3 linked regions of the Arabidopsis thaliana genome follow. The protein of the gene in region 1 interacts with the protein of each later gene in a pairwise test. Each region holds a gene or a part of one and is shown on either strand. Other genes may lie near its edges. The genes, in order: CIPK8, CBL1 and SOS3.

Region 1 (10,726 bases):
GGGAAGCGAAGGAAGATCGATTGCGAGGAAGCCAAGGTTTTTGTGTCTCCATGGATTTCGTACGAGCGGAGAGATAATGAAGATACAGCTTCATAAATGGCCTAAATCTGTAATTGATAGACTCGATCTCGTGTTTCTCGATGCACCTTTTCCTTGTCAAGGCAAATCTGATGTCGAAGGCATCTTTGATCCTCCTTATTACGAGTGGTTTCAATTCAACAAGGTCCTTTGTTTTTCTTCACTTTCTTCTCTTTATTCTTTTGATTCGTATGTGTACTAACGTTGTAATTTGGATTCAGGAATTCACCGAGTATACGAATTTCGAGAAATGTTTGGAGTACCTGGAGGATCGTATGATCAAGCTTGGTCCTTTCGATGGTCTCATTGGGTTTTCCCAGGTAAGTTATCTACATTTGAAATTGCATCAACAGAGTCTGATTTGTGTACTCTCTTTGAAAACTCTAAATTTGATTTTGCAGGGTGCAATTTTGTCTGGGGGTTTACCAGGACTGCAAGCTAAGGTACGTCAATACTAATGACACTATAGTATTCATGATCATATTTATTTACAAATTCTGTTTCTGATTCATTTACAACTTTTGCAGGGAATTGCATTTCAGAAAGTACCAAAGATTAAGTTTGTTATAATCATTGGAGGAGCTAAGCTCAAATCCGCCAAATTGGCCGAGAATGCATATTCGTCTTCCTTGGAAACTCTCTCCCTCCACTTTTTAGGTACATTCTGCAAAAGCTGATTTGAAAATTCTTCAAAACCTTGTTCATTGATGATCGAGAATCTGATAAATGGCTTGTTTGTTGCAGGAGAGACTGATTTTCTGAAACCTTACGGAACTCAGCTGATAGAATCGTACAAGAATCCGGTGGTTGTCCATCATCCCAAAGGCCATACTGTCCCAAGGCTTGATGAGAAAAGCTTGGAGAAAGTTACCGCATTTATCGATACCTTAGAGCATCTGGTGATGGAGGAAGACAAGAATGGTGAAGAAAATACTAGTAAGCCAACAAAATAGATAAGCTTAAAATGTTATGTATAACGAATAATTCTTTGGATAATAATCGTGCAATGACTGTAAATAAATCTGGCAATGTTTGCGAAAAAACAATTATTACAACACAAACAATAATAGACGATTCTTTCGTTCATTTTCATACATTGTCTTCCTTTGAGCTATAATACTCTTCTTGGTGTATATAACGAATCCAAAGAAGAGTGAAAATGGCAAAACAAATCATGCAGTGTACCTGAAGCACTTACAGTTTACAAACACATTATCTTCTGCTTGCTAGTTTTGCTTTTCCCCAATCATGGCCTCATTTGCACCAAAGTTTTTCTCATAAAATTGTTACAAACTTTGGAGCATCCTTCCTTGGGCCATCAAGGGATCGATACAAGTACAATGTCTCAACATAATCCCCAGTGACAGTGTCTTCGTCATCATCACCATCGGCTCCAAATACTTCCACGACTACATTAGGCAGAGCATGAGAAACACCCCTGCAGCCTCCACGGGATATGAGACATGACGACAACCAAACAAACCTCATATTGGAATACCGATGCATACCAGAGCGCAATCCAACATCTCCAAAGGGACTGTCCCTGATCTCAAGCTTTTGTAGTTTAGGACAACCCTCAAGAACGTATCTCAGAGCCTTGTCACTGTTCCCAGCAAACGCTACAGATAGCGTACGGATCAATTTCCCATATTCTCCTATATAGCTAAAAGCTTCATCTGTTAGTAACCCTGATACTGCAAGTCGGGTTAGCTTCTTGCAGTTTTTAACAATGGCACCAAATCCATCGTCCATTGGCTTTCCTGTCACGTGGTCAGGCCTATGGCGACCCATTATGCAAAGTCTAAACACAGTAAGCTGCGGGCAGTTCTCCGACATGGCTGTCACAGCTCCATTGGTCATATTCTGGCAAAAGTACAGGATAGATTCCAGTTTCCTACAGCCCTCTGAAATTGCTTGGAGGCCTACTCCCGAGACAGGACCTTCACTGTCTTCACGAGGATCAAAAGGGAAAATCCGAAGCTCACGGAGCTCCTTGCATGTGGCAGCCACTGCCTGTAGTCCTTCATCACGTATCGAGTCAAGAGCCTGCATTATAAAAGTTTCAAGATACGCATGTAACTCAAAGTCCTCGGTTAAAGGATATTACACTATACTATACAATGAGATCAATAAAGATACATACCCAGAAGACTCGGATATTGTGACAGTTGCTTATGATGGGCTTGAGCATGTGAGGAGAAATGTTAGCATAACTGAAGTTAAGAGAGGTGAGATTAGCACAAACTGAAGAGATGGCTAGGAGGTATTCCGGTCTAAATTCCCTGAATCCTGAGAGACAAACTATGGATTTACAAGCACGAAAAGCAGCTGCATAATCCGGTTGTTGTTCTCCCTGAGGCACATTGTCTGGACTAAATGACCCCGTCCCAAGACTCGTTAACTGCGGCGCTCGAACCATTAGTCGATGCAGCTCTTCAAGGGAAACAAACCTGTTCGTTCTAAGTTTCTTCAAGAATGGTGACCTAACCACGAGCTCCTCCAATGCCTTGAAATTGATAGGGGATTCAACACAGTCAAAAGACAAAGACTCCAGATGAGTTTCACCCTCAGGAAAACAAGAAATCCAATCCAACTCATCATCTGTGACTTCTGACTCCATCAAATCAAGGACCTTTAGCTGCCTGAAAACAAAGTCCCACTTGATAAGCATTTCTAGAAGACTCTGAGAACAAACAAACAAACAAACAAAGAGAAGAGATCTACAAAGTACCTGCATTTGTTAGCAACAATAGCAATACCACTAGTCCCAAAACCTTCACAGCAGACCAAAGTAAGCTCTTTGAACCCAGGAAACGACTCAGCAAGAAGAGCCAAATCATCATCCGTAACAAACATACGCTTCAAATGAACCTTCTCGAGCCAAGGATAAGCCTTAGCTGTAGCAGCAACCCAAGGAGAGAATTGAGCTCCCCAATTAGGAGGCATGAGATTAAAATCAGCAAACCTAGGTTTCCCTTTAAGCACAAGAGACCTAACACGCTTGAACCGGTGAATAAGCCGAGCAGGAGAGAGCGAGTAACAGTTTCCAATAAAAACCTCTAATCGAGTCTGAGCCTCGACGCGATACCACGATCTGCAGACCAATGAGACTGCGTTGCGATCGCATCTGGAAGTGAGGAACTGAAGCACGTTCTCTAAAACGTTCTCAAGGACATGATCTGGACACGGCGGGGGAGAAGATTTGAAATTTCGAGACTTGTTCGTGAATGTAGCGGCGGAGGAAGAAGAGGAGGAGGAGGAGCAAGGTGGATTTAAGTTGAGATATTTCTCAACATCCTCTGACATTTTAGCTGAGCTATCTTCTTCTGTCATACAAGTAAGTGATGAAAAACAAGAAAGACTCTGACTTTGATCTTATCCAGAATTTATGAGCTCAGGTGCTCTCTTTCTGATACAAAATCTGATTCAGATGAAGAAGAGAGATAGGTGAAAAAGGAGCTGGTCTTGGTGTTTGGACTCTCTCTCTCTCTCCATTTTCACCTCCATTATTTAGGAGACTATGTAAAAGAAAAAAAAACAAATATTTTTGGTTTTGCACATTATTTTTGTTGATGAAGAAATAAAAAGAATCATCAAGTATTTTGTGACCAAACATGATTTTTAATCCTATTAAAGATTTGTACTTCTATTTTAAGGTGTGACAGGTGACATTTAGAGTTTTATGTAAGTGGTAATCATGTAAACTTGTTGAATCTTAACCAAAATTAAAAGGATTTAAAAGTGTTTTGTACTGTTTCTTTAAATGAATAATACTAATATCTAAAGTCACTTTCATCCTTTTTTAAGTTAATGCATTTTACATGAATTTAATTTTTATCATACAATCAACTTTTCGATTGTGTTCTCTTAAGAAGGCCTCAAGGCTTTCGTGTAAAGGAAAAATGTTTGGGCTTATTATATCTCATAATATGGTGGCCAAAACAAGATCAAAGGTGATTAATGGTTGGTTTACTGCCAATAATGGGTTTTGAAGATAAGTGTACTGTATGCCTTATTCGATTATCTTTTCAAAAATGTGTTTGCTTAATTTTCCACAAGGCAAATTGTTATAGATATCTTCAAATATGCTTCTTAAAATTTTCAAAAGGCAATTATTTAGAATATGGATAAATTTCAAATAAGTTCCCTAAAAGAAGAAATTTCGAAGTCAAGTTTTATAGAATAAGTCATAACGACGTTGTATCCATAGTCTTGGTCACTAACTACTAATAAATGGGTCATAAGTCTATAGATATTTTTCAAAAGCTAGGAGTCGTATTAGTGTGAAATTATGGTATAAATATACTGACCTTCCATTACAAAGAATGACGTGTAAACAACCAAATATTAGAATGTGGCAAGTAGTCGCCGAACACGTCTCCTTCGTCAAAGTCTCCTTTTCTGACTTCTCTTTAACCCCCAACCCCTTGTTACTTTAATTTGGCTCTACATAGATTTGTAATCAAACACAAATCACAAATCTATATATTTTCCCTTAATTACTTTGGCTTTCTATTGATTAAAGCTTCTTTAATTCCAATTTGCAATTTAAACACCTATCTCTTTCCCAAATTTGAGACTTTCCTAATTAATTAAAAGCTTTGCTCTGTATATTTGTCGTTATAAATTTAATTTTAAAATTCGAAACTTTTTTTCTGCCTTTCCTCTTTCTCTCTCTCTATCTATCAAACACTAGACTTGAAGAAATGCAGTGAAATTGAAATTGAGTAGAAGCAGAAGAGAATATGGTGGTAAGGAAGGTGGGCAAGTATGAATTAGGTAGAACAATCGGCGAAGGTACTTTCGCTAAAGTCAAGTTCGCTCAGAATACAGAGACCGGTGAGAGCGTCGCCATGAAAATCGTGGATCGTAGCACAATCATCAAGCGCAAGATGGTGGATCAGGTCCCGTCTCTATCTTCTTACTACTTACTCTCTTCGATTTCATTTTGGCTGAGATATGATTAGATTGATGACATGTGTTAGCAGATTAAGAGAGAGATCTCGATTATGAAGCTTGTTCGTCATCCTTGTGTTGTTCGTCTTTATGAGGTAAGTGAATGTTTTGCTTCTTCTTCTTTGCTTTATAATTTACTGAAAGATTCTTGCTTTCCATTTGGGATTTTGATATTTGGTCCTTTTTAGGTTCTAGCAAGCCGTACAAAGATTTATATCATCCTGGAGTACATTACTGGTGGTGAACTGTTTGATAAGATTGTGAGTAGCTCTTGGTGATGATTTTTACAGCGTTTTACTCTGTCAGATATTGTTGAATGATTCATTTGTTTCATTGCTACTATAGGTTCGTAATGGACGACTTAGTGAGTCAGAAGCTAGGAAATACTTTCACCAGCTTATTGATGGAGTTGATTACTGTCATAGTAAAGGTGTTTACCACAGAGATCTAAAGGTGAATACTTGCTAAGAATTAATACATTTCTACCACTTGTTCTTGATCTGATGATTGTCTTGTGTTAATTGCAGCCGGAAAATCTTCTGTTGGATTCTCAAGGAAATCTCAAGATATCTGATTTTGGCCTCAGTGCATTACCTGAACAAGTAATGGGGGTTCTCAGTGACATCTTTTCTTTCAAATTTTGAGAATTTAGTTTGTTATTGGATCATTATTGACTAAATTATCTTACTTTGATCTGAAGGGAGTTACCATCCTAAAGACAACATGTGGAACTCCCAATTACGTTGCTCCTGAGGTAAATCAAATATCATAATGTTTTGAAATTTAATGTCTTTCTTATCATAGCTTATGTGTTCTTCTCCGTTTTGGTTTAGGTTCTCAGTCACAAGGGTTACAATGGTGCCGTTGCAGATATTTGGTCCTGTGGGGTCATCCTTTATGTTCTTATGGCAGGATATCTTCCATTTGATGAAATGGATCTACCAACTTTATATAGTAAGGCATGAGCTCTGCTGTTGTTGCCTCTTGATTCTTGATATTTTGTTTTGTAAAGTTTCTTGTTGCTGCCTAGTTTAATTATCCCAATTAAACACTAGGATTGAACAAGCAATATCTGCAGAACCTGTAATAGAAATCGTTATGGCTAAATTATTTTCACTGTAGTCAAGACTCCCTTTCTCTAAACCTTCCGTGTTATGTGCTTGTAAGGCATCTATGTACTTTCTTTCTGATATGGTTTCCTTTTCTTCTTATTGTCCAACATTTTTCAGATCGACAAAGCTGAGTTCTCTTGCCCCTCATATTTTGCCCTGGGGGCAAAGTCCTTGATTAATAGAATTTTGGATCCAAATCCAGAAACTGTAAGTTTTGAGTTTCCGTGCAGATAGCTTTGTTTAGATCTTTTTCAATCCTGGCTACTGTATTTGAAAGATGTGTTACATGTTGAAAGAACAGCAGCTTGAAAAAGAGATATCTAGATTACACTATAATCTTTGACCAGCTCCAATTGAACATATCATTCTTTTCTACACTTGAATAGACCCTAGAACTAGTCTAAGCATTTTCTTCCATAACTGTCTGGACCATTTTGGAAGGTCTATAGAATATGGATAATGTGCCAACTGAAAGAATTACAGGACATAGTTGTCGGGTCAAGTTGTCCCAGTTACTCTTTTCGATGCAAAGTCTTGACAAATCTCGCCTTGCTTTTGTTTTTCTTCTTTTCCTGGCAGCGGATTACAATTGCAGAAATCAGGAAAGATGAGTGGTTTCTAAAGGATTACACTCCTGTACAACTTATCGATTACGAACATGTAAACCTGGATGATGTATATGCTGCTTTTGATGATCCGGAGGTAGGATTCAGCTAGCACAATTATTTGTTTGCTGTTGAGTATTTGTGTATAAATCATGTGTTTCCAGAGTTACTGTTGTTCTAAGCTTATGAGATTATTCTTCTGCCTGCACTCAGCATGATCTAATAATTTGATGTTCTATTTAACATTATACGTTGCAGGAACAAACATATGCACAGGATGGAACAAGAGACACAGGTCCACTAACTCTAAATGCGTTTGACCTAATTATTCTATCTCAGGGCCTGAACCTCGCAACTCTTTTTGACCGTGGAAAGGTACAATACTGGGTGTGACCCCACTGTGTGCATTCCTATTCCTTATTTAATTGTTCTTTCTCTTTTCTACATGTTATACAACTAATACGCTAATCTTTCATGTGTGTTGACAGGACTCCATGAAGCACCAGACAAGGTTCATCTCACACAAGCCAGCAAACGTGGTTCTCTCAAGCATGGAAGTTGTGTCACAGTCTATGGGCTTTAAGACACACATTCGTAATTACAAGGTGAGGTACTATAGTAAGAGTTTGGTTAGGCATTCTTATCGGTTGAAATCGCTTCATTGTTTTTTGTGATGTGTATCTTAACATTTCTTGAGAGTTTATATATCATATCATCATCTCAGCCTTCTCAAAGCACCCAACAGCTGTTAACCGTTTCCATTTTCAGATGAGAGTGGAAGGATTATCTGCAAATAAGACATCTCATTTCTCCGTCATACTAGAAGTAACTTCTCTTAAAACCAGTCCAACTTTTTTACTTTGGTCTCTCTATGTTCGAAGTCTCACTAATCATTTTCAAATCTGAAGGTCTTCAAAGTTGCACCATCAATTCTCATGGTAGACATTCAAAATGCAGCAGGAGACGCAGAAGAATACCTTAAGGTTAGTTTCGGAAGGAGACCTTAGTGTTATAAGTTCACCTTGAGGGATTGTGTGACTCCGGAATAGTAAAAACCAGTTTATGTTTTGCAGTTCTACAAGACTTTTTGTAGTAAGCTTGATGACATCATTTGGAAGCCGCCAGATGCATCTATGAGAAATCGAGTCACCAAGGCCAAGAGTAAAAGACGTTGAATCCACGTGCGTGGTATTCAAGCAGAGCTTTCACAGAAGACAGTTAGAAACAATATTTAACTCTCTGTGTTTCTTAAGTGCTTTAGTCGAGTGAATATGTACAAGCTTGTTGATTTGGTTTTAATTTATGAATACATAGAAGATTGTACTAAACTTATACGATATCAAGACTAAATTGAGTGAAAATTGCTGATAGTTTCTCCTGATTTGAATACGGTCTGATGCGATGATCCATATGCTTCCAACATAATTCATTTATTCTCATACATTCACCAGTCTCGTCCTTCTGAGTATATATGTATACTGGTAGGGACGTCCCTATGTTAATTGGCTTTGTTCCCTGCCACGTTTTGAAGTAGTTGATGCAGCATCTCAAACACGTTTCAGTGTCATTCTATTTTCCCTCCTTTTTAGGGATTAGATAAGAGTTAAGACTCTCTATTTTCACACAAGTGTGTGGTTGGTTTGCTCTAGAACCAAAAGTGATATTGAGTTTGACATTCACATTATTCCTTAATGAAAGAATAATATTATAGTAGTAGTATTCACTTAGGCTTCAATATTATGATTCGTCAACCCTGCTGAAATAGAATTTAAAATGATATTGAGTTTGACATTATGTTATTCCTTATTGTTACTCACCAACTTTAGCATAATGTTTTTGACTCTCGAATCTAATCTTTCAACTTACCAGTCTTACAGGTGTTTATCAGATGCATGCGTACAAAATATATTGTAATCGGAACTATTTTTTTATAGTCTAGTTGATCTATATATAATGTTTCTTTCAATATGAAACACATTTTATAATTTATGAATGAACTTAGAAACATTATAAACTCAAACCTCCCACAGAATTATCTTTCCTGAGCCAGGACAAATGCACATCTTAAAAGTTTGCTGCAATGTATTAAAACATAAAAAGTAAAATCACATCTTAGTTAGCTTTTAACTTCTTCAAAAACAAAAAAGAAAAACAGATTATTGTTGTTCATGTTTTACAATGTCTAACAATGTCTTCTATAAAGTAATTAAAAAATTATTGTTGTTCATGTTTGTATATGGAATTGATATACGAGATTTTGTATAGTTTACATGAGATTTCCTAAATTTAAACTTATATAACCCATCATATTACATTCATCGTGATCACCACCATCCATCATTCGAATTGTCAACATTTTTTAATATATATATTAGTTTACGGCATGGAAAAACTACAGTGGTCGTGGCGCTTCCAACTTCACAAATTTAAAGTTGTTTATGGCAAAAGACGAGTACAAGTTGGTCCATAACACCATAAACATATAACCAAGTAGCTGCAACTTGGTACTTCATGCTTAGTATTATATACGTAAATATAATTATAATTTTTGTTTCCTACTAGTGACGACGAAGAAATTCGATATTAGTAGTAGTTTGAACATTTTCATTACTTAAACTAGTGCAAGTTACAACACATCTTTCTATGATTCTGTTCTTTTAACTAAAGTTTCTATATTGCTTTTGAAAATTATTATGTATTAACAATAGTATATTTCATAAATTACTAAGTTTCTTTACAGATTGATATGACAAGTTGCTTATATATTTTGTGGCCTAGTAGTAGTGTCACATGCAATGGATTTGGTTAAGTAGAAGTATAGAACTATATATAGAAAGCATGAGAACTGGAAACAAATTTGTAATGTATTTCGACTGAATTTTTTATTTGTTATTCATTTGGCCGAATGGTTTTAATTTGCTATGATTTTCGCTTATGTTCACAAAACGATACACGAGGACATTTCTACAATACATAAACCAAAATACAGAAACTAGATGATGGTCATATTAAATTGTCATTTTGAAACCAAAACCACTTCTTCTTTATAAAAAAAAAGAAAAGAAAAAAAGAAGAAGATATGAATTTTATGCAAGTGTAAGGACATGCATTGCAAAAACATCTCTTAACTATTTTTATAAAACTGAATTTTTTGATTATTAACATAAACATGGATTTATATATATAAAACATCTATAACTTATTGAATTGAGTTTTCAGGTTCACGTTTTGGTACACATTTTACGTCAATTAGTTCGACTCAACTACACTGCTTTAATAAAACAATTGTATTATCAAATCTTTTGTTCTAGAACCTCTTAAACTTTAAATAATTCTTAAAAATCTCGAAAAAAATTCTTTTTTAATCAAAAGAAAGAAAACAAAAACTGGACGAGCCAAAATGTGACCTACGAGAGCTATGATCCGTGTGGTCCTTCAAAGAATAACCAGCGAAATCTGTATATAGATTATGGCATAAATATTATAGGTATCAATAAACTAGGAGAGAAATGTACGAGCCTGACAGATCCGGAAAGAGCTAGAAAAGAAACGTGACACATTTGTATTCATTCAAGGAGACAAGTAAATTAAAAGCCTAACTTTTATTGGTCCGTTTGATCAACTCAGAGCTGGACATGTGTCTTTTCCTCTTTTTCTTCAATCTTTCGCGACTCTTCTCTTCTTCTCTTTTCTATTCTACTTTTATTTTTAAAAAAAACATTTTTATTTGTTTAAGATTTAGGTTCACATTTAACAAAGGAGAAAATTTTATACTACTAGTAGAATCCACTGTTCAGCTAACGGCTTGCCTTTGCTCAGCTTGACCGACATACCCTAACACTTATATTTTTGCCTTCCATAGTGGGATTTGTACAAAGTTAAATTTGCAAAGTAGCCATACTTAATTATAATTAGTTTTCTGATTAGTTGTATCAAAAATGATCTAATAGTTTGATTCGTTTTCTAGTGGTAGAA
Region 2 (9,966 bases), 2.8 Mb from region 1:
TGGAGCCATTCTAACATCATTTTGCGCAATAAACCTGACATAGAAGAAAGCATATGATGTTAGACGATGACCTTCCATTTACTTTCCATATGTAAATAGTCTCCCGCTCACCATCATGGTCAGTAAACTCCCGAGGAATTGCTGAAACAAACTGCAATAGTGTTCCAAGAGGAACATTACAAGGGTTCACCACAGAAGCAGCAGTTTCTAACACTTTTTGATAAACTAGAAAATGGAAAAGAACAATCAAAAGAAGGAATTTTAGTGTGTTTAATATCGTGAGGGAAGCTACAAAATTATAATTCCACATACGTATAATTGACTTTAACAAGATAACTGATCAGTGACCTCGAATACGGTATTTATGATTAAAATGCTGTCTGCTGCTCTCTGCAACAAACTTCAAGACATCCAGTATATGTGTCATATCATCTTGACTTAAATGTCCACAAGAAGATTCCTGGGCAGTCCCAGAGAATTTATCTTCGAGGTGCCCCATTTCCTTGTCCCCGTATCCTCCAACTACATATGCCGTAGAAACAATACATTGTACGAGAGCCATAAATCCAGCTCTACAAAAAGACTGTTTCTTCGCAAGAGATGCCAGGTTGATCAAAAATCCAACCCGATTCCTATGAAATGAGTAAACAGTTCAATAACATAATGATTTTTATTTATGGTTTAATAATTCACAGACCCTAGAGAACATATCCAGCCGCACATGACCGATAACATATTTACATGAAAGCAACAAACATAAAAAGTTGGAATTGTAACTTGAGACATCCTACCTTGGGTTGAGGCAACTTGTGTACGCACTCACATATTGAGCTGCACCTTCAATTGTTCTTGATGTATAGATTCCTTTCAGCCCTGGGAGAGCAGAATACGCAAGAAATAAGTCTAGTTATCCGTTATCACTTCGGCAAGATGGCAGTAAAACAATGAAGAGTTCCAATACAATTTATTAAAGACATTGGAATACATTTCTTCAAGAAGCACATACCAAAATCCTTGTGGTGTGTAGGATCATTCAAACCCTCTATGAAAGGACCAAGAACGAAAGTTTGGGACATTGATTGTGTACATGTTTTGTATCTTCTCCACTCGATACCGAAAAATGACTCCATGACCGTGCACCTGACTAAAATTGAAATAGATGAATTAGAAACAGAACTGATATGAAATGGAGGTCTGAATTAACCAAAGTGTGTTGCCAACATGGATACTTTACTTTAAGTGACGCTCTATCCATGAGTAAAAGAGAATTTTTGGCCACAATGGGACAACTTCAAATACTGATTTTATCTGATGAACAAGTGTAAGAAATTGTTGAATACTAACTAAACAATATGCTACAACAAGCAAACAGTACCTAGAGGGTTATCATGACGAAAGCCTCGATTCCAAAGAACCTCTAACCAATTAAAAATTTTAGCTTCTTCATCTGGAGTTTCCATGTGACCATGATGAGAGTTATTACAGTCGGATTTCAAGGTTCCATCATATCTGAGAGATGACTTGATTAATAAATCAATCTGAAAGGTAGATTAAAAAAAGCAATGAGCAGAGGAGAAACGCATCAAGAGCAGAATATTTACAAATACCAGAGAGATTAACTGACCTGGTTACTCCATGCTGCTTCTACAAGATGAGTGCCGTACTCCTCAAGCATCTCATACAAGAGCAGAAAAGCTTGCCATCCCTGCTGACTAGTCAACCCAGAGTCGACAGAGCCATACAATTCTCCGACGCCAAGCGACTTGGCTTCCTTTTCTGCCCACGTCTCCTTTCTTGTCATAGACCGATTAACTGAATTCCCTTCGGGCTTCTTCTCAGAAATGGTCTCACTCACTTCAATAATGGATAAAACTGATTTAAGTATATGCAATGACTGCTTCCTTACTAAGCTCTCATCAACAACCTGAAAAGAAATGTTTTGTACTCATGGATGACCCTATTGTGGAAATTGGAGAATCTGTAAGAATAGCGGTATTTTTGCCATACCAAGCCTATCTTGATTTCATCCCAAAACTCTTGTTCAGACCTCAAGTCAAATTGAACAGCGTCTTTTTCTGAAACAAAACTTTCAGTTCCGTCAGTCCAAGAGCCAGAAGAAAGACACAAAGACAGAACACTGTAAGCATCCCTTCTCTCTATTGATCCAACCGAGAACAGCTTCTTGCAGCATTCCCAAATTCTTTTTATGAAGCCATTCCTGGAGTTTACAGCTTTAAAAATCATTAAAGAGATCAAAGAAAAAAACTAACCAAAAAGCACATAAATTTTTGGTTCTTAACCTCACCTTGAAAGTATGAACAGATTTCCTTGGTGTGAGATCTTCAAGGATGACTGAGAAGAGAATGCCTTGAAAATAGCAGGGAGGAGGAAACTAACAGCACAAGAACGATGTTCTACACTTTGTGACAAAAGCCGCTCAGTCGTATTACACAAATCCCAAAGCATACCAGCTGCAAAACTTTCCACCTTCGGAGCTGCTTGGTGACTTTGAAAAGCAGCATTCAGAATCAAATTCAGAAGATGGCACGACAATGGAATTGGAAATGATCCAGACAACTGTGCAATGTAGTTTTCATCCATATCTATTGTATTCAAAGAATCACGGAGGCAGAGGTCGCCCCATTTGATGAAATCTGATTCTTCGTGTTGACGCATTCCCATCGAAAAACCAACTGATCTTAGTAAAAATGGCACCAAGCTCACTCCCAACATATCCAATACATTAGTCTCGATCACTACATCAAAGAACGATTCTACAATCTGGTACAATCAAACAAAGAAACCAAAAGAAACAACAAAATGATCAACAATCTCAAGGAGATCAAAACTCTAAGGACTATAGTCAACAGCAGAAATTTCTACCTTATTAAGCATATCCAAATCATATGCACGAACCATCTTCATCAATGGAATAAACACTCTCCACACAAATAGCTGCAACGCATTATGATTATCCGCAGCAACAAAGCCTGCTTCAACCTCATAACCATCAATTAAACAATTCTGTAATCACTAACACATCATACATATCTAAAAATTCAAAATTGGTAACTCACCAAAATTCTTTAGTAGATGACAAAGCCCAGCCACCAATGAAGCTATGTGGTTGCAATCATCAGAATCAAATCTCTTGTCCCCATTTACCGTATCCTATTCAAAAACATGTTCAAATCTTAAATTGAACAATCCGAAGCAAATTGCCGAAGTGTGAAACAATAAACCAATCAATCAATACCTCTAAACGAAAAGGGAATTGCTCAATGAGAGATTCGAAAAGAGTTGAAGGAGATACGCCTGTGGAGCTTAAAACACAGTCAAGGAAAGCAGGAATAGCTGCTGGTGGAACTTGCTTGAAGCTCAGTGACAATGAAGTAATCACTGACGAACCCATTTCAATTGAAGCTTCGAACTTCAAAAAAATTGGCTGCAAGCAGCCAGAATAGATGAAGAAACGTAAACGAATTTGAAATTAGTACAGAGGGAAGTGTTACGAGGAATCTCTCTGTTAAACCCTTTCAAATAATTTTCATGGCTTAGGACAGATAAACCCTAGTCGTATAATTAGGGGGGAAATTAGAATTATTGATAAGGGCTTTCTTGGGCTTAACTTAGTATGATTGGGCCGTATGGGATAGACTTCAGGAGAAGAAAAAAAAAAAAAAACCGGAAATTGTTCGGGGGATTGAACCCGACGTGAATCGAACACGCAACCTTCTGATCTGGAGTCAGACGCGCTACCATTGCGCCACGGATCCGGATGTTATTATGTTGCATTTATAAAATTATAATACCGTAGTATACGCAAATTAAACAAAACATTTTGAGGACGCGTTCCCAACACGGCCGGTGACCAAAGAGTCAATTTAAGCCCGCTTTAAAGATATCAAAATGATATAAAACTCTAATTGATCGAGTTAACGGCAGGAGAATCAAAGCTACTAATCATAATCAAGAAATTTAATATATATACGCTATTATTATTGTTTTGAACGATAAACACGTGGTCTGGTCGTGATTAAGGTCCTAATTATGTCAACGTTTGCCTGCCACATTGCAGACCGAAGTACTAATTCCACACCGACTGGTCTACGACATATTTAATTCATAAACACAATACTTTATAATTAAATTGATTCTTGTAGAGATTTGGCTTCATGATCTGATTTATTTAGTTAATAACCATTTCAACAGATAATTACAGTTTAGAGCCTTTTTCCAGTTGTCAAGAGTGTTATGGTTTTAAAATGGCACCCTGTAAATATCACATATGTTAGTGGATTTATTTTACCAAAGAAACAAAAAATGTTAATGGATTAAAAAACTTGTGTTTTTTTAGATAGCAAAACCAAAAGAAGATATGGTGACCACTAACACGATCAGTCGAAGACAAATGTTTCCCAGACTTTATTATTGGCGTTTCCATTTTGCATATTAGTCAAATTATGGAGCATCGCAAATATCTAATAAACTAACTATATAAAAAGTTATTATAATACAGGGTTACCAATTCCGTATATTCAGAATATTCCTAAGAGGTGCCATTTTGACTAATAAAATGGACGGATCTTTGATTTATTCCGGAAGTGAATGGATATTAGAAGAAACAAAAGAAATTTTGAATTTCTTGTCCAAAAAATATTTTTCCCATTCTTAGTATACAGAAACATAGAAAATATCGTGTATGCTTACGTAACAATCAAGTTGTAAAAAGAAAAAAAGACAGAAGATAAATAGTACAGAATGAACATAACAGAAATCAATCTATGGAATTAGGTACAATTAGGTTCGGTCTAACTGAAATTACATGACGACAGAAAAAACTGAACTAAACGCCGATTCTATTAACTTCCAAAACTGACTCGTCTCACACGCGCTTACTATGATTCACACGTGCGAATATGCCATCATATAAGCGCTACTAAAATTCATTCCAAAGGAAAAAGAAAAATAAATAATCGATCTCAACCGTCCGATCATCCATCTTGCCATCACCGTTCACCAATCTTCTTCGTCTCCTCTCTCTTTCTCTCTTTTTGCTGTTTCTAGCTCCTCTCTCTCTGGATCTCGCCGGCGAACCGTTTCTCTTGGGTGGTGAGTGTTGCTTCTTATTTTTAAGAATCTTTTTCTTTTATTTCCATCGAATTTCGTTTTTTTGAGTTTGATTTTTGGCCTGTGGAATTCTCGATGTTTCTACATTGATCGTCTGGTTTCGAATCGTGTTTTACTGGTACAATTTTGATTCCATCTCCGTATCTTATGGATTCGAAGAACTTTGTGTTTTTTTTTTCTTTCTTCATTGATGCTACTTTGCTAGGGTTTACACTTTTTTCTTCCATGGTAAAAAAATTTGAGCAAAGTTGTTGAGATTCTTCTAGACTGTTTTCAATTTTACGTTTCACAAAGATTTTTTTAGATGATTTGTTTCTAATGAAATGGCATTGTTTGTGTTCTGTTTCCATATGTGTAGATTTTGAAAATATGTTTGTGATGATTGTGCAGTAAACAGTAGCAATCAAGCTATAGAATCTCAGATATCGCTGAATTAGCTGTTGGATTTTATCCGCCTTTTCTTCGTTATCCGGGGCTCGGGTATAAGGTTTCATCGTCTTATTTCATCTGTAAATGGGCTGCTTCCACTCAAAGGCAGCAAAAGAATTTCGAGGACACGAAGACCCTGTTAAGCTTGCCTCTGAGACAGCTTGTAAGTTTACTCGCGCTATAAGTTTAAACCTCCTCTAGATTCATTTCTCTCAAAGCTGCATGTTCATTTGTTTTCTGATATGAGATGAGAATCATCAGTTAGATTCAAATCATTCTTTCTCTGTTCACTGATTTAGTTTATCTCCGGTTTGGATTTTTTTAGTTTTGTGTTTTGGAGTCTTTGTCTGCCTAACAATTTCTAGTAATGATCCTTCAAAGTTGGTTAACACTCTATCTCATGTTTCTTGTTACCAATACCATCACCTTAATCTTGTTCCTTAACTTGTCAAGACGAGTTCTCTCTCCATGCAAATTCTAAATGTGAATTATTAGTCTCTTTGTTTGTTTGTTTGTTTGTTCCTGGTAATTCTTTGTTTTGATCTCGTAGTGTTGCTTGTTTTTTTCTCTTTTCCAGTTAGTGTGAGTGAGGTTGAAGCATTATTTGAGCTATTCAAGAGCATAAGCAGTTCGGTTGTTGATGATGGTCTGATTAACAAGGTACAAAGTTTGTTTCTTTTGACCCAATTTGGATCTTTTCATGACCCCATCGTTGTATCTTTTTGTTCTTTACGCTATTCATCTACAGTATTTTTCAACTTAGTTGACTTTATTTGAGCAATAATTATTCTTCCATGACGATATGTCTGTTCCATATTGCATCGATTCAATGTATCGTAGCCCTTAATGTTTGACTTGAACTTAACTTATTTTATTGATTGCTTTGATTTTGAATTTTGAAGCCTTCATGGCCCACCTTGTTTATGTTGTTTTTTAATCCTGGCTTCACATGTATGCAGGAGGAGTTTCAACTTGCTTTGTTCAAAAGCCGGAAGAGGGAGAATATATTTGCTAATAGGGTAAAATCTTAATTCTTCAGGCTTTTACAAGATTCATCTTCTGGAAGAGTGATCTAAACCAAGATAATATGTCCATTATCCTAAACAATATTGCTTTTCCGCAGATATTTGATATGTTTGATGTTAAACGAAAAGGAGTCATCGATTTCGGGGACTTTGTAAGATCACTCAATGTTTTCCACCCCAATGCTTCTCTAGAAGACAAAATAGATTGTAAGTTGACATAAGATAGTTTCATATATAGGTGTTTATTGAAGCTTTTGTGAAGAGATTTATTGATTCTGGTCTGCCATTTTTTCTCAGTTACGTTTAGGCTTTACGACATGGACTGCACGGGTTACATTGAACGACAAGAGGTAATACTAACTTGCAAGCTTTGAATACTAGTCATGATAGATCTTTGCCATGTTCTTGAGTATTCATCTTTTACTTAATAACTTTGCAAGAAATCGTTAATGAATGTGATATATTTGCAGGTCAAGCAAATGTTGATCGCGCTTCTCTGCGAATCTGAAATGAAACTGGCTGATGAAACCATAGAGATAATACTCGATAAGGTTTGTTGTTGTCTAAGGCTTTATTTTTCTAGATGGTATACATTTAGAGATGATGTTCTTAATGTGGTTTCCTTCGTCCTTCTCATATATGAACAGACATTTGAAGATGCAGACGTGAATCAAGATGGAAAAATTGATAAATTAGAGTGGAGTGATTTCGTAAACAAAAATCCATCATTGCTTAAGATCATGACTCTTCCATATCTCAGGTATATTACAAATTGCCTTTTATGGAAACCAAAGAAAACTGAAAAATGCCAAATGAAATGTCATATTAACTTGTACATAAACAATGCAGGGATATTACGACAACGTTTCCGAGTTTTGTCTTCCATTCGGAGGTCGATGAGATTGCCACATGAAGAAACAAACTGGTTTAAGACCGAGTAGATTGCCACGAGTTGGAAGAACAAGTCTGAGCTAATCGGTGTAATCAACATCTGTTTGTAAACAGTAGTAGAGCATATTCTCTTGAAATTGTTTGGGTTACTTTTTTCTTCTCACAACAGTTTAAAATTTTGGGTTTTTAGCTTACAAAAAAAAAAAAAGAAGAAGCGCGTAATCACCAATCCTTCACTTCATATAGTTAGGAAATGTTAATGAGTTTGTACATATTACATCATACGTTTGTTGTAATTGTTTTTTTTCAAGTAAAAAAGTAAAGATTTGTTACGTTTACTCGGGGTTCTAATTGTTCCAATGGAATCTTATACTGCAAAAACGTGAATTTGAGATTTTGTTGGGTCCTTAACCGCAAAAGCGAAAGTACGAATGTCCTAGGACCCGACCCGATGAAATTTACAGTCTTGCCACTCTTCTCTTGTTACAGTGTTCCTCTCTTCTCTCTCGATTTCGAAGTTTCCAGCAATTTAGGGTTCTTTCTCGATTGGAGAATTCGTATGTTGTTATCATGTTCTCGTCATTGTTGTGCTTTCTTTGTTAAATTCTAGATTTGGAATCGAAATTCTAGACTAATGTTTAGGAAACGGAACTTAGTTCTAGAATCATTTCGTCGATTCGATAGCGGTAACGTAGAAACCCTAATTTCATGGGTCTTGTGTAGTCGCACCTCAAAGCCGTCTCTGTTCTGTACTAGTGTTAAACCTGCTAGATTAAACTGGGAAGTTTCTTCTCAAGTAATTCTCAAGAAGAAGCTAGAAACAGCTCTTAAAGATCACCGTGTAGATGATGCTTGGGACGTGTTTAAAGATTTCAAACGCCTCTATGGATTTCCAGAGAGTGTAATCATGAACAGATTTGTTACTGTGTTGTCTTACTCGTCTGATGCTGGTTGGCTTTGTAAGGCTAGTGATCTTACTCGTTTGGCTTTGAAGCAAAATCCAGGTATGTTAAGTGGCGATGTGTTAACAAAGTTGTCGTTGTCTCTAGCGAGAGCTCAGATGGTTGAATCTGCTTGTAGTATCCTTCGAATAATGCTGGAGAAGGGATATGTTCTAACCTCAGATGTATTGAGGCTTGTTGTGATGCATATGGTGAAAACAGAGATTGGGACTTGCTTAGCTTCGAATTATTTGGTTCAGGTTTGTGATCGTTTTGTGGAGTTCAATGTGGGGAAAAGAAATAGCAGCCCCGGGAATGTTGTGAAGCCTGATACGGTCTTGTTTAATCTTGTACTTGGTTCTTGTGTGAGATTTGGTTTCTCTCTCAAAGGCCAAGAACTTATCGAGCTAATGGCAAAAGTTGATGTCGTTGCGGATGCGTACTCGATTGTGATCATGTCTTGTATTTATGAAATGAATGGTATGCGGGATGAGTTGAGGAAGTTCAAGGAGCATATTGGTCAGGTACCCCCTCAACTTCTTGGTCACTATCAGCATTTTTTTGATAATTTGTTAAGCCTGGAGTTCAAATTTGATGATATCGGTTCTGCGGGTCGGCTTGCCTTAGATATGTGCAAGAGTAAGGTCTTGGTTTCAGTTGAGAATCTTGGATTTGATTCTGAAAAGCCTCGGGTTTTGCCTGTTGGGTCACACCATATCAGATCTGGGTTAAAGATCCATATTTCACCCAAGCTTTTGCAGAGAGATTCATCTCTCGGAGTGGATACTGAAGCAACATTTGTTAATTATTCCAATTCCAAGCTTGGTATCACAAACAAGACTCTTGCCAAGTTAGTATATGGGTACAAGAGACATGATAATCTCCCTGAGCTATCAAAGCTTTTGTTTTCGCTGGGTGGATCCAGGTTATGTGCTGATGTCATTGATGCTTGTGTTGCTATTGGTTGGTTAGAAGCTGCTCATGATATTCTTGACGACATGAATTCTGCTGGCTATCCCATGGAATTGGCCACATATAGGATGGTCTTGTCAGGTTATTACAAGAGCAAGATGTTGAGGAATGCAGAAGTTCTTCTGAAACAAATGACGAAAGCCGGCCTAATTACAGATCCATCAAATGAAATTGTGGTTTCACCAGAAACTGAAGAGAAAGACAGTGAAAACACAGAGCTCAGGGATCTCTTGGTTCAGGAAATCAATGCAGGAAAACAAATGAAAGCTCCAAGTATGCTCTATGAGCTAAACTCGTCCCTCTACTACTTCTGCAAAGCTAAAATGCAAGGAGATGCCTTAATAACCTACCGGAAAATCCCCAAGATGAAAATCCCACCAACTGTCCAAAGCTTTTGGATCTTGATCGACATGTACTCATCTCTTGGCATGTACCGGGAGATCACAATCGTGTGGGGAGATATCAAGAGGAACATTGCAAGCAAAAACTTAAAGACAACACAAGATCTGTTAGAGAAGCTTGTGGTGAACTTTCTCAGAGGCGGGTATTTTGAGAGAGTAATGGAGCTTATCAGTTAT
Region 3 (12,167 bases), on another chromosome or scaffold:
AACAAGAATCTTCATTACCTTTGAATTGCACTACACAAAAAGGAGTCAACTTTATCACGTCAACGAAGATTAACAAACAGTAATCAATTATATCTTGAATTTGACATCAATGGGTACAACAATGATCAAAATGGTTCTTCAATTCCTCAGCAATAAGAATCAAATACATGCGTATTAACGGAAAAAGGAATCGTCGATTGACACTGGAAAGATGGGAACTTGTTGAACTAAACGAATTTGAAGAGGAAGAGGAAGATGGAGATTAGAGTTGAAGTTGGTGGGCTTACATTGGAAATGGAGCTGATCAGAGAGATTGAGAGATAGAACTAAAACTGGTTTGGTCCGTCTTGGAGATAGATTAGAGAGAGATTCCTCGGCTTGCTTTGTTTTTCAATTTTTATATATAATAAAGTGTTTATTCAATTAAAAATTCAACATTATTTAATATCTAGAATGTATAAATAATTTTACTCAAGAACTAATTAAAATAAGCAAAAATTATTTTCATAAATCATCTACTTTTAAAATTTCGTTTGATATATATTAATATTATCTACAATAATAAACCATGTGTGTACAAATTTTTTATTGTTATTCTAAAAAAAACACGAATATTTTCATGTAACAAAAATATGAATATCCGCAAAAGGTGGATCATATATTTTGGTATATACAACAATGAAGCAATAATAGACTAGATTTGTAAATATTTAATTAGTAATTATGTATGTGAGATGGAGAGTCGCTATGTAAATAACTAAATATATACAGTACACAAGGCAAGTCCAATATCGTTATCAAGATCGGTTTATTTCCAAATCCTAGCTTACATCTCTATCTTCCTCTTTTAAGATATTGTACAAAAATATTCGTTTTATGTATATTTATCTTTCCTTGCATGGCTTATATTAGGAAGATACGTTTTGCAATTCCATTTCTTCCTCTTCACAAGATGAAACGAAACTTGGAAACGTCCTATTTATGTCCCTACATTTACCAAGAATCTTCTGATTAGTCAATTTGATTCAATGCAACAATCAAAGCAGTTGGTTTGGATCAAAGTTGGTCACGGTGTAAATTATGAACTCACTTTAGATATGGCAAAGTCATGTTCTTGATGAGCGATGGATTCAAGGATACAAAGTCTTTCCATTCATCTATATCGATTTTTCCGTCGTTTTTGCGGTCTGCTTGCACGAAAGCCTGCAAATATATACCACCATTTCCTTATAAATTCTTTATCATATCATCTTCAGTATTGGAATTAATATCTAGTAAACAAATGTGCATCGGTGTGGGAGTGATTACCTTATCCACCATTACTTCAATCATATCTTCGGAAAGAACTAGTTCGGATTCGTGAAGAAGCGCTACTACCATCTCTTTCAACTAATCAAAATGTAATTCATTATGGTATATACATGTTAGATCAACACACATAAACGTTAGTGGAGTAAAACTGTTTAATCTGGAGGGTACCAAAACAAAGTATCCGTAAATGGACTCACTTCTTCTCGCTCGATGAATCCAGTTTGTCGTAAATCGTACAACTTGAAAGCAACTGCAAATTCATGAGAAAATTCTTTGTTAGTTAGCCAATTAAGAAAAGAATATCAAGTAAATTCACATAGAATGAATATGAAACAATTTTTGGGGCTAGAAGAATGACATTTGACTTTTTCATGGACCGGCGCGCTTGGATGGAAGACACCTAAGGACCGGACAAATTCACCAAACTCGATCACTCCATTTCGCTTCACATCAAATACATCAAATATCTGCATATTATAAAACAGAACTTTGTTTAAATTTACATATGTTTTCAATAATGTCACTTGTTCTAGCTAGGTAGTTACTATATGTACCCGATCAGCGAAGAGATTCCTCCGGTTCCTATTTCTGAATAAAGCCAGCTGAAATTCTTCCTGCAACATCAAACTTTTAAACTCTAATTAAGCTATATAGATTACCTAATTGCTGTCTACATATGGACCTTTTAGAGTGAAAGAAGAAACCTTATGAATAAGACCATCATCGATAATTGAGCTGCTTAGCTTCTTGAACAGTTCATACAAAGCCTCCACTTCTTCTACCGTGACTATTGTCCCTCCCATTACAAGTAAAATAAAATTTGAAAAAGTTTACCAAACTCTACAACATGCTATTGTAACATTTAAAGATTGTCTTACTAATAAGATTTTAAACTAAAAACTAACATGGCGTGACGGATGCAAGAAGCTCGGGATCCTCATATCCCGGTGGTCGCATTGCATTCTTCTTCTTCTTCTTCGATACAGAGCAGCCCATACAAACACACCCTTCTCTCAACTGTTATTAGCCTTTGCTTTTCTCACGCTACAACCAAACGCAAATAATCTTGGTTAATTTACAGATATTTCATTGTTCCTAATAATTTGATGATTTTATAAAACACCCTTCGACTGAATCCTACATTCGTTTTCGCTGGTTTTACTTCTACTAAAAATGGTCCTAGAACAAACCAATTAAGATCGAGTGCAATTAATAATAGGCAACTTGTTTAGTTTGTCACGTTATTGACTTTTCTAGTGTTTTTTTTGTGGTCAAACTCAAACAAAGTAAACATATTTTGGCAAACTCACGAGATTACCAAAATGTTTCTAATGAAATTCAATATTTAATTACATATACATACATGAAATATTAATGTAGATGAGCACTAATCATGTACATCTAATGCATGTATATATATATCGTCTATGTATATGTAACATTTGAATTTCGTTAAAGGCAATCTAGCGTCGAATTCATCAAAATCTGCAAGAGTTTGACAAACATCGATATTAAAATTTTGAAAGGGTCGACGTTTGAGCAAATATACAATAGAAGTCGACGGCTATACGAACGATTATGTCATTGGTTTATACATTTTTTTTTTTACATAATAAATACATAGGATATAGGTGGCAAAGTTAGCCATTAAAATAGTTGTAGCTTTCACGACAGCTAGTAAGCTCTCCCTAAACAATCAATTCATTAACAGAAGTAGCCAAAATTAGAACAAAAACAGCGTTTTCCCTATTTAATCTATAATTTAGTAATGATTCACAATAAACGTAATGAAACCAAATATTATATAATTCACAGAAGGTGTAGGCAAGTCGCCGTATTAGCCACGCTAATGACTAGGTGTATAGATATAAGAGATAATTAGTTTACTCCTAATTTTATTATCCCTAATAACATAGATAAATGATCAAAGTCTCCTATGATATATGCATACATATAGATAATACATAAATACAAATACCGGATCAATATCAAATCTAATCGACGTTGGTCCACGTATATACATGAATCAGTCAATGTACTCTAGTAAATATCTACAAAGATGTTTTCTTTTCTTTTCCAAATAAGCTTGAACCTATGTCCAACTCAATCACAAGAACACATTTAAGCGAGTAATACAACCATGTCGTAAGTTTAGGAACATAATAAGAAGCCGGATAGGTTGAATAAATAACGGCTTTGAATGGTAACTCATTATCAAAGTTGTACAAACTGTACAACTTTGACAGTTACCATTCAAAAAAACTTTATCAAAAACGTTACAAAAAGTTTTATTCTAAACTTTTCTGTACAGCTCTTTTAGACAGTTTTGTACTATTTCGTAACAGTTTACCGCTCCAGCTAACAGCTAAAGTTTTGTGTTACCAATCAGACCCAACATGATTTAAGTTGTTTTGGTGAGTACATTTTTAAGTGAAGAGAGACTAGAATGGATTTTGAACGAAAAGGATAGAGAACTAAGAGAAGAGTTACAATATGAATGGCCATGGGACCACATTAAAAAGTGATGCTTTATCAAAAATCAATAATCACGAGATTGAGACAACCTTTTGTTGCTTTTTTCAATGTAGGCAATTTATATGTGTTTTACTAATAAATAAAACAAAAAGGGCTTGATTACACTTACACTAATATCTAGAGACTATATAGTATATTTAAATCTCGTTTTGTTCCAAAAAAGCCACGTAAAATCCTCAACCATACTAGCATTTAATTTGGTACATATCAGAGCCTGTCTTTGACCAGGCAAAGCGAATCTTGAACTTGGAACCTCAAATCTAATATAGTATATATTTGAAAACTACATGAGCCTAGTTGGTTAATTAATGAATCATTAATAATGATCAACTAATGCCTAAGGAAGGTTTTGGTGCATTTGGCTTTTCTATGACATTTCTAATTAATGTATTAATTTATGGACCATTTTGATTTTGTTATGTGTGGAGCCTCCAAATTCTCATTACCTGTTTTTTAGATCTATACGTAATCATACTCAATGTACGTCGTGTAAACAAACTTAGACATATCTAATTTAGAAGCAGTATTTTCATCTTGTTGTTTACTTCTCGCGATCTTTTTGTATAATTAATAACAAAAATGTTGTTTAATCAAACCGGCCACGCAGCAATATGACGTTTTAAAATTAATTATTTTCTCTATAAGTATTTAAATAGTAAAAATGAAAAAAAAAAAAACTTGCAGCTATTGACTTTTATAATTTATTTGCTATAAATAAGTTTATTAGGTGTGGTCTTTGATTTTTAGTAAGAAATCAAATTTGCCATCTCCTCTCCTTAGACTCTAAATCACCAAAAGTGACACAAGAAACAAAAAAACAGTTCTAAATATCTAATGGCTACCAACTAATTAAACACCCACCAAAATCGAACCGAGATGGACCAAACCGGATATGATCCAATTTGTAATCTCTAATCTGAAATAACTTGATTTCGATTGAAACCAAAACCAAAGCCAAATTCCATTGAATGATTAATGGAATGTTGGAAACTATACACTCAATTAGAAGAAAAACAAAAATCAAACGGTTCAATTCAGTCTATAGCACTAAAGAACTCAATTGAGTCAGTTTTAAAGAATGGTTTTGCTTTGGTTTGTTTGTTTTTTCTAATATTTAACCGAATTATACTAAATCTTATCAGAAGATTCCTGGAAACACGGACATATTTTGACTCTTTCTTGAAGAAAACCCAAGATGGGATAAACTTCAAGCTCATAAACCTCCATTTCGAAAAAAAGAGAGAGGAAAACAGTGAATTCCTTTACATATATCTTGAGGTGGACTAAAAATTACGAAACAGAAAACCAAAACATGGAAGTGATAGAAAAAAAAAACATTGGATAGAGATGAAAGATTTTCTCAGCAATGGTGAATCGAAGAAACAAAAAAAATAAGATCAAAAATAACTAACCAAGATATGGATGAATCTCTATATGTTCTTGTCGACTCTTCACTTGTCTCGATCTTGAATAATTGAATAATGGTGTTGGAAGAGGAAAAGGGCAAAATGAGAGTTATTTAAATAGAAGAACAAATTTGTGACGAGCTTCCCAACATCGGGTTAGGTTTGTGTCCGTCCATGCGCAGATGGATCCCGATGTTATGTCGGTTTTGAAAATATATTTTTATATCGTGTACTATAAACTATATAGCAATGTTTCCTCGACCTTCTATTTATGACAAACAAAAAAAATATTAGAGTAGTACTGTTTTCAAGTCCCACCTCACTTTTTAATTTCCTTTTGTTGACACTTGTGGTGGTTGTTGGCAAATAATCTTTTAAAAAATTATAAATATGAGAGGCAGTTTTTGATATAAAAATAACCTAAAATATTATTCACTTCTGAAAATACACCAATTTTAAAAAAGTTAATTATATATTTCATAAGAAATTTTGTCTTACACCTTCGCTTGATGTGTTTGTCTTGGACCTTAGTTTGATGTTTGATATAAATAAAATGGACACTCTTGTGACCAAAAAAAAAGTCGCTAATATATTTCTTAAACTAACTAATACAAATTTTCTTACAGATGATTGATAATTACATTTATACGTATGCTCATTTTTGTAGTAATTATTATGATTCCGATAAAAATGAACTCGATTGTTTATGAAAATTTTAACAATTACCATGAAAACGTAACTATGAAAGAGATATATCACATTCATCATCGTCAAGCTACCAGATTCCACAATGTACATCACTTTTTATAGGGTTTGGAACTTGTCAGCTGATCATACCCGTCCTATAAGAGAGCTTCCTACTCTTACATAAAAAAAAACATGACAACACTGAAACTACATGTGCCTAACTTTTCTAACTTTCGTCATGATCCACAGAGTTTTATTTTCTTAGTTCAATTACAAAATCTTTATTTTATTTATAGTTGACCCATCATTTCATTTGCACTTTTTCAATTAAACAAAAAATTACGATGTGAAATGATAAATTTTCCTTCACTTTTTGCCCACTAGTATTCTCTTTTTGTCTGTTGGATTGGTGATATTTTAAAAGTTTGGTTTTGCTACCATGGCTATTTTCTTATAATATGTTCGTTATGGTTCAAAAAATCTAGTTATTTAAAAAGATCATAGCAGCAAGATCAAAAACAAACTTTTGAAATAGAAAATTGGTGAACAAAATACCATTAACCGAAAAAGAAAATGAAATTTCAGAACAAAAGTGACTAATCCAAAAACACAAAAACCAAACCGATAACCAACAGGTAAACAAACTGTTTGAATCGTTTTAGGTCCAGTTTTACTCTCATTACTCTAAAGACTGAGACTGGATTAGCTCTAATGAGTTTGTGACATTGTGATATTTTTCATTTGTTTTCTTCATTTTCTTGTCTACCTTACGCATTGAACACTTCTCCTCCTCTATCTTCTTCGCTGCCATTCTCACTTTATCTCTTGCTGCTTCCATTTTTCTCAGCTTCACTTCTTCATCCTCCTTTAGTGTAATCGGGAAATGAAATTCCGGTATGCTGATCCAAAAACCATAAATCATATCATCCGCAGTAAATACAGATGCAAGGAATAAAACTCGAGTTTTGAGCTTTACAGTTTAAATTCAAGAACTAAAACGGATACAAGGATCAAGAAAAGGTCAAGTACCTGCACCCGGAATATATGAATCCGTTATCTTTTGCGATAAAACCATCTAAAGAGACTGCACCACCACCATTGATGTGTGGAAGAGCTGCTTTAACTTGCTTTTGGGTCTCTATACCTGTAAATTCCCAAAGAGATTATAGAACAAAGTCTCTCTAAGCCCGTATCCTGAGTAAGTTTGAACAGTGAGCTCCTCTGGAGCCAAATCAATCATGTTCACGGCATAGCCCTTGAAACCCGGTATGGGATCTCCATCGGGCAGCTTTGGGTCATCCATGGCTAATTTCTTCTGAGGATCGTTCTCCAAAAGTCCATCCTTCCAAGGTCTGCGTGTTTGAAAAGATCACTTATGATTCTGTCAGAAACGACTCTAAGGTTTAGCTATCGATATGTTGACAAATACCTGATTGCATCAAGACATAGAACATGAAACCGATGATTGGACTGAAGCCTGAGAAACTCAGCATTATTAGGTCCAATTTGTGCCGATTTGCATACCAAAGCGAGCAACATGTCTTCTCCCAAATATTCAGATAACACCCTGCATACCAAATGACTTCAGATACAAAAGTTTTGGCCACTATGATCAGTAGTAACACTGTGGGTATAAATTTATGTCACCTGCTAAGGGAGGTGGAGGCAACTGAACCAAGAAGTGCTACGAGGCCAAATACTCCTTTCTTTGACAGAAACAGTGACTGTGGAGGCGGTGACTTTCTGTACAAACAACAGAAAACTGATGCTGCAGTGTCATGATGCTTCTCTTCAATCTGTTTCATCATTGATTCTTTGGTGGATAGGCATTCTGGGAACATAGCACCGAGAGGTTCTAGAGAAGCTGAGATAAAGGTTTAGGCAACATGAGCAGGTAAGCATCAATGCAAATTCAATCCCCATCGTAGTTATCAAAACTTCTTCAAATGATAATAGTTACCTTGCAAGGTACGCAACTCTTCCTTAGCCTGGTTTTGTTCAGCTTCCAAACAATGTAGGCGCTCATCTATTTCCACTCTGTGTTCACTGTATCCAATAAGATTTTCTTTAAAGCTCTGCAGGAAAATTCAAAAGTTAACTCGGAAAACAAAAGTTAGATCATTCGAGAAATCGTTCTGCTTTTCCTAGGCATAAATGAAATGTAAACATCAATATCTGTGGCTTAAATGGTGATGGCCATATACCTCAGTGAACTGTGCCACATCCCTCAGGCTCGGGCCAGTTTGGCTACTGAGAGCCGGTGAATATGTGGTTGAAGCCATCTTTGATTTAGGTGTTAAACCCATCCTTGAATAAGATGTCTCATCTCTTTGAAGTATTTGAGCAGGTGTAAGCTGAATCTGTAAATCAAGAGGACATGTTATCAACAACCGGCATTTTCTACTCATTGTAAAAACATATTGCAACTTGTAAGATAACTCAGTCCACAACATTACTACCTTTAAGCTCAGATGAAGCTCGGGAAATCGAGAATGGAAAACCTTGAAAGAAAAGACACCCTCCCTCTCAGGTAGAGAAAGAGTAGGAACTTTGCAGGAACCATGGACAAAGGCATATCTGATTTCACTCTCATCGCTGCTTGAATCAGTTTCAATGCTCATTGTATGGAAACATCCAGATTTTTCATCATGATGGATACTAGTATCCATAACACCATCTGAATCCGTCACTTTAAAAATGAGGTTTGTAAGATTTGAACCAGCAACACAGCATTCAGGCAGCTGATCAAAACAAACGATTTCAGAATGAGAAAGACAGAATAAGAGAAACAAACTAAGACTGCATTGACACAATCAAACCTATGTTACAGATATACTAACCTTTGTTAAGAGCATGAGCTCTCGTCTCTCAGTCTGAGACTCTTTCTTGAAGATCTCATCAATACCAGACATAACCGAGAGAGATACTACATATTAAAAAAAAAGACATTAGAAAATAAGAAGATATGAATTATTACATCTTACAAAAGAATGGTAGCAGATGTTACTAGTTTTCCCATAGCCAGCCGTGACTTGGAGTATTCCAGACAGATCAATGCAGCCACAACTATTAACCTGTGACATCATCAATGAACTTAGAAGAGTAAATAGAACATTGCTAAATTCTTGTTCAGTGATAAACAGAACATTCTCGCACCTTTTGGTTTAAGCCCATCGAGTCATTGATACAATAGCCCTCAATACATATCAGAACATTGGTACCTTCTGCAACATGGTTATTATATCCATCGAACACCTGCATAAAAAATATTGTACATAGCTTGATTTGATGTAATTATTCAATACTTAACAAATAGACCTTTACCTCCAAGATATAATTTTGAACAGTAGAACCTGGAAGCAAATTCTCCAAAGCCTCTGGATACTTCTCAACAACATGCTTCAAAGGTCCAGGATTAACTGAAATATGAAAAGCTTGTGAAGTAAATTATCATTCTACAGAAAAGTACTCTTCTAAATCAGGTTAGTTTGTAACTAAAAACATTTCCTACTGTTGTCAATTTTCTCTGTTCCATAAACAAAGTAGAAATTATAAAAATGTCAGTTAGTTGGAGTAACACTATTTAAGATTTTGCAGCACAGACATATTACTATACAAAATTAAAGCATAAGGCTTACCTTTACAAGAAACTGAGACAGAAAATGGTTCATCAACGCAAGAGATAGAGCAAGGAGGAAGTGAAGAACCCACCCTGTAGACACACCATTATATTGATCAAAGTTGAGATCTTAAAGTGCAGGAACAAAAGAAAGGTCACATGTAAGGAGTCTTACTGAACATTATACTGCCGCGTGGACTTGAGATTAGAAGCAAGTTTCCAACTTCCCACTTTCGAAGACGGTTCAACAACCACCCTTTCGTTAGTAGTAATCGAGTTTCCCTGATCCGCAGTTACACCTAGATGATAATAATACCAAAAAACACACATTAACCAAGTCTTGACACAAACCAAAAGTTTTTACTTCTTCTTAGTCCTTGTCAAAATCTGACTCCTTACCCTTAATATCCACTTTCTTCCATGTCAACTTTGCCTTTTTTCTGCCTCTTTCACTTGTTTCTTGAAAACCGACTTGAATTTCTTCTCCTTTTTCTTCTTGTTCTTTTGCCGTTGTTGTGCGTGTTCTCTTTCTCCCGTACATCCTCTCCACCTTGCTTCTCTTCTCACTTGACTCATCTTCTTTCTCTTTCTCTTTATCTGTTTCAGTCTCATCTTCTTCCAAGTCATTCTCTTCCAACTCTTTCTCTTTCTCTCCATCTTCCTTCTCACCTTTAGTATCTTTAGCTTCTTTTAGATTCTTCACACATGATTCCACATATGTAAGTCTTGTATCCATGTCATCAATCTTCATATATATTCTGTTTAAACCATCTTCCAACTGCTTCTGTAGCTGCTCAACAATTCCTTTTTCACTCACCTTCTTCAGAGCCACCTTTTTCCGACCAACTCTTACCCCAACAACATTCGCATTCTTTGGATTTGCCTCAATCTCACGGCTACTAACATCTTGGATATGAAGCTCTTCAAAACATATTGGCTTATTTTCCTTAATTATACGCTTCGTCCAACCATCAACAATCATATCATCCACATCATCATGTCCAACCTCATCATCCATGATTTGCTTCAAAAGTTCTTTTTCACTAGGAGATGGAAGCATGATACTCTTAATTTCCTGTGAATGAAAAAAATACAATTTGTATCCTATACTCTCAATTAAAATTTAAGGTAATAATATACGATTAAATCATTTCTAACCTTTGTTGTACCAAGAGTATCATACAACTCCGAAATAGGAAAGCCTTTCATACTACTAGGTTTGAACTTCATCTTGCACATCCTAGGACACTCAGGATCTGCTTCTCTAACATGTTTTCTAAAGTTGTTCATTAGATTTGGGATGGTCTCAAACGCTAGAAGCTACAGACAACACCAAAACATTCAAACAGTAGTTATACCAAGTTATACCAGTTGTAACCAGTTTATATATCATAAACACATTCAAAATACATACCTGCATCACGAAGCTAGGAAACACCCATGCTGCGCCCAATTCTTCATCAAAGTGGTCCATGAGATGAAAAATGTCTTTCATATTCTTATCAAATGCTAATCGACCCCATGGGAATGTTTTACACCATTCTAGATCTTCCACGGATTTAAGAAAGAAATCTTCCACAGCCTCTGCTTTTTCCCCTGTTTTTCTCTTCCCAATGATGACGCTGCATAAGAAGAATAGGACCGCCATTTTCAAACGCTCTCTCGAAGATTTCTTCATTGAGAGTAGTTTTGTCTTCACTTTCGCATATGTTACTGTTGCACCAACACCAAAATGCTTACCAGAGAACCCTAAGCTGCCAAATGCTTTATAGTTTTTTGGATAAGAATGGCAGTATAAACCAGAGATGAGTGCAAGTTCTTGAAGAGAATAGCGGATTGGAACACCGTTGACAACAAACCAACATTCCTTCTTCTTATCAACACAAGCGGTGCGAAGAAGAAGCATCCACATGGCCATTACCTTGTGATTTGAATCCGTATGCATATGGAAGAAATGTTTGAACTGTGGATGCTCCCAAAACCATTTCTTCTCCTCACTTGAAAGATGACTCTCCAAAATATTCACCACTTGATGAATATAACACTTTGTTCCTATCTTGAATGGCTTCAAATAATCGGAGGGGCTAAAGTACATTTTCAAGGGTCGTAATGGTTCAGTTTCCTCTTCAGAATCCTACAATCAATATCAAGATGTGCCAAGTTACAAAATCATCTGAGTTATACCAATTTCTACTAAGTTGTACACAGAAACATACCATTGAAATTTGCTTAGTTTCTTCATTATCATCTCCAAGCAACACTTGTTCTTCCGAAGGATTGTACTCTTCACTCTGGCTCGGGTTCTCTGTACGCGCCGTCTTACAAATCTATAAACAAAACCAACAAAAACGAAGAAATTCATACTCGGACCTAAGTAATAACCTTGTATTTTAAAGACACATAAACTTGTAATTATATATGTTAACTATCACAAGTATTATTATTGAGAAACTTAAAATCAGATCCGCAAAAGCTGTCTCAAAGCTATAAGTTTGTGTAGTAACAGAGCAAGTAGCACAATGAAAAAACAAAAAAAACAACGACTCACATCAAGACGGAGTACATTGCACAAATCAGGCTTAAACTTGTCAAATCGAACGATTTCTTTA

What was found.
Region 2: the proteins of CIPK8 (region 1) and CBL1 interact in binary tests that used the Arabidopsis thaliana proteins (3 or more experiments, as listed by UniProt).
Region 3: the proteins of CIPK8 (region 1) and SOS3 interact in a two-hybrid assay, tested with the Arabidopsis thaliana proteins (one study listed by BioGRID).

Annotation. Positions count from the first base shown.
Region 1 is NC_003075.7:12,612,556-12,623,281, forward strand, and holds CIPK8 (CBL-interacting protein kinase 8), read left to right. Parts: upstream 1-4,423; 5' UTR 4,424-4,823; coding exon 4,824-4,982; intron 4,983-5,066; coding exon 5,067-5,129; intron 5,130-5,222; coding exon 5,223-5,294; intron 5,295-5,379; coding exon 5,380-5,487; intron 5,488-5,561; coding exon 5,562-5,636; intron 5,637-5,734; coding exon 5,735-5,788; intron 5,789-5,867; coding exon 5,868-5,993; intron 5,994-6,263; coding exon 6,264-6,353; intron 6,354-6,725; coding exon 6,726-6,848; intron 6,849-7,009; coding exon 7,010-7,126; intron 7,127-7,239; coding exon 7,240-7,356; intron 7,357-7,519; coding exon 7,520-7,576; intron 7,577-7,659; coding exon 7,660-7,734; intron 7,735-7,824; coding exon 7,825-7,926; 3' UTR 7,927-8,159; downstream 8,160-10,726. Other genes in the region: AT4G24380 (dihydrofolate reductase), read left to right, coding at 1-223, 300-521, 606-735, 823-1,031; AFB4 (RNI-like superfamily protein), read right to left, coding at 1,354-2,124, 2,222-2,720, 2,810-3,411. UniProt on the Arabidopsis thaliana protein: CIPK serine-threonine protein kinases interact with CBL proteins. Binding of a CBL protein to the regulatory NAF domain of CIPK protein lead to the activation of the kinase in a calcium-dependent manner.
Region 2 is NC_003075.7:9,811,499-9,821,464, forward strand, and holds CBL1 (calcineurin B-like protein 1), read left to right. Parts: upstream 1-4,855; 5' UTR 4,856-5,112; exon of another isoform or gene 5,113-5,248; intron 5,249-5,488; exon of another isoform or gene 5,489-5,520; 5' UTR 5,521-5,643; coding exon 5,644-5,722; intron 5,723-6,136; coding exon 6,137-6,219; exon of another isoform or gene 6,220-6,482; coding exon of another isoform or gene 6,483-6,518; coding exon 6,519-6,578; intron 6,579-6,682; coding exon 6,683-6,791; intron 6,792-6,881; coding exon 6,882-6,934; intron 6,935-7,054; coding exon 7,055-7,135; intron 7,136-7,231; coding exon 7,232-7,525; 3' UTR 7,526-7,855; downstream 7,856-9,966. Other genes in the region: AT4G17610 (tRNA/rRNA methyltransferase (SpoU) family protein), read right to left, coding at 1-34, 112-225, 349-632, 792-873, 1,007-1,144, 1,376-1,538, 1,625-1,924, 2,008-2,218 and 4 more; AT4G17616 (Pentatricopeptide repeat (PPR) superfamily protein), read left to right, coding at 8,110-9,966. UniProt on the Arabidopsis thaliana protein: Acts as a calcium sensor involved in the signaling pathway during growth and development and in response to abiotic stresses. May function as a positive regulator of salt and drought responses and as a negative regulator of cold response.
Region 3 is NC_003076.8:8,237,873-8,250,039, forward strand, and holds SOS3 (Calcium-binding EF-hand family protein), read right to left. Parts: upstream 5,572-12,167; 5' UTR 5,259-5,571; exon of another isoform or gene 2,356-5,258; 5' UTR 2,308-2,355; coding exon 2,217-2,307; exon of another isoform or gene 2,115-2,216; coding exon of another isoform or gene 2,099-2,114; coding exon 2,016-2,098; intron 1,939-2,015; coding exon of another isoform or gene 1,926-1,938; coding exon 1,866-1,925; intron 1,779-1,865; coding exon 1,670-1,778; intron 1,562-1,669; coding exon 1,509-1,561; intron 1,390-1,508; coding exon 1,309-1,389; intron 1,204-1,308; coding exon 1,091-1,203; intron 988-1,090; coding exon 909-987; 3' UTR 611-908; downstream 1-610. Other genes in the region: AT5G24275 (En/Spm-like transposon), read right to left, coding at 7,078-7,291, 7,369-7,506, 7,587-7,803, 7,900-8,014, 8,144-8,299, 8,399-8,680, 8,780-8,865, 8,947-9,013 and 6 more.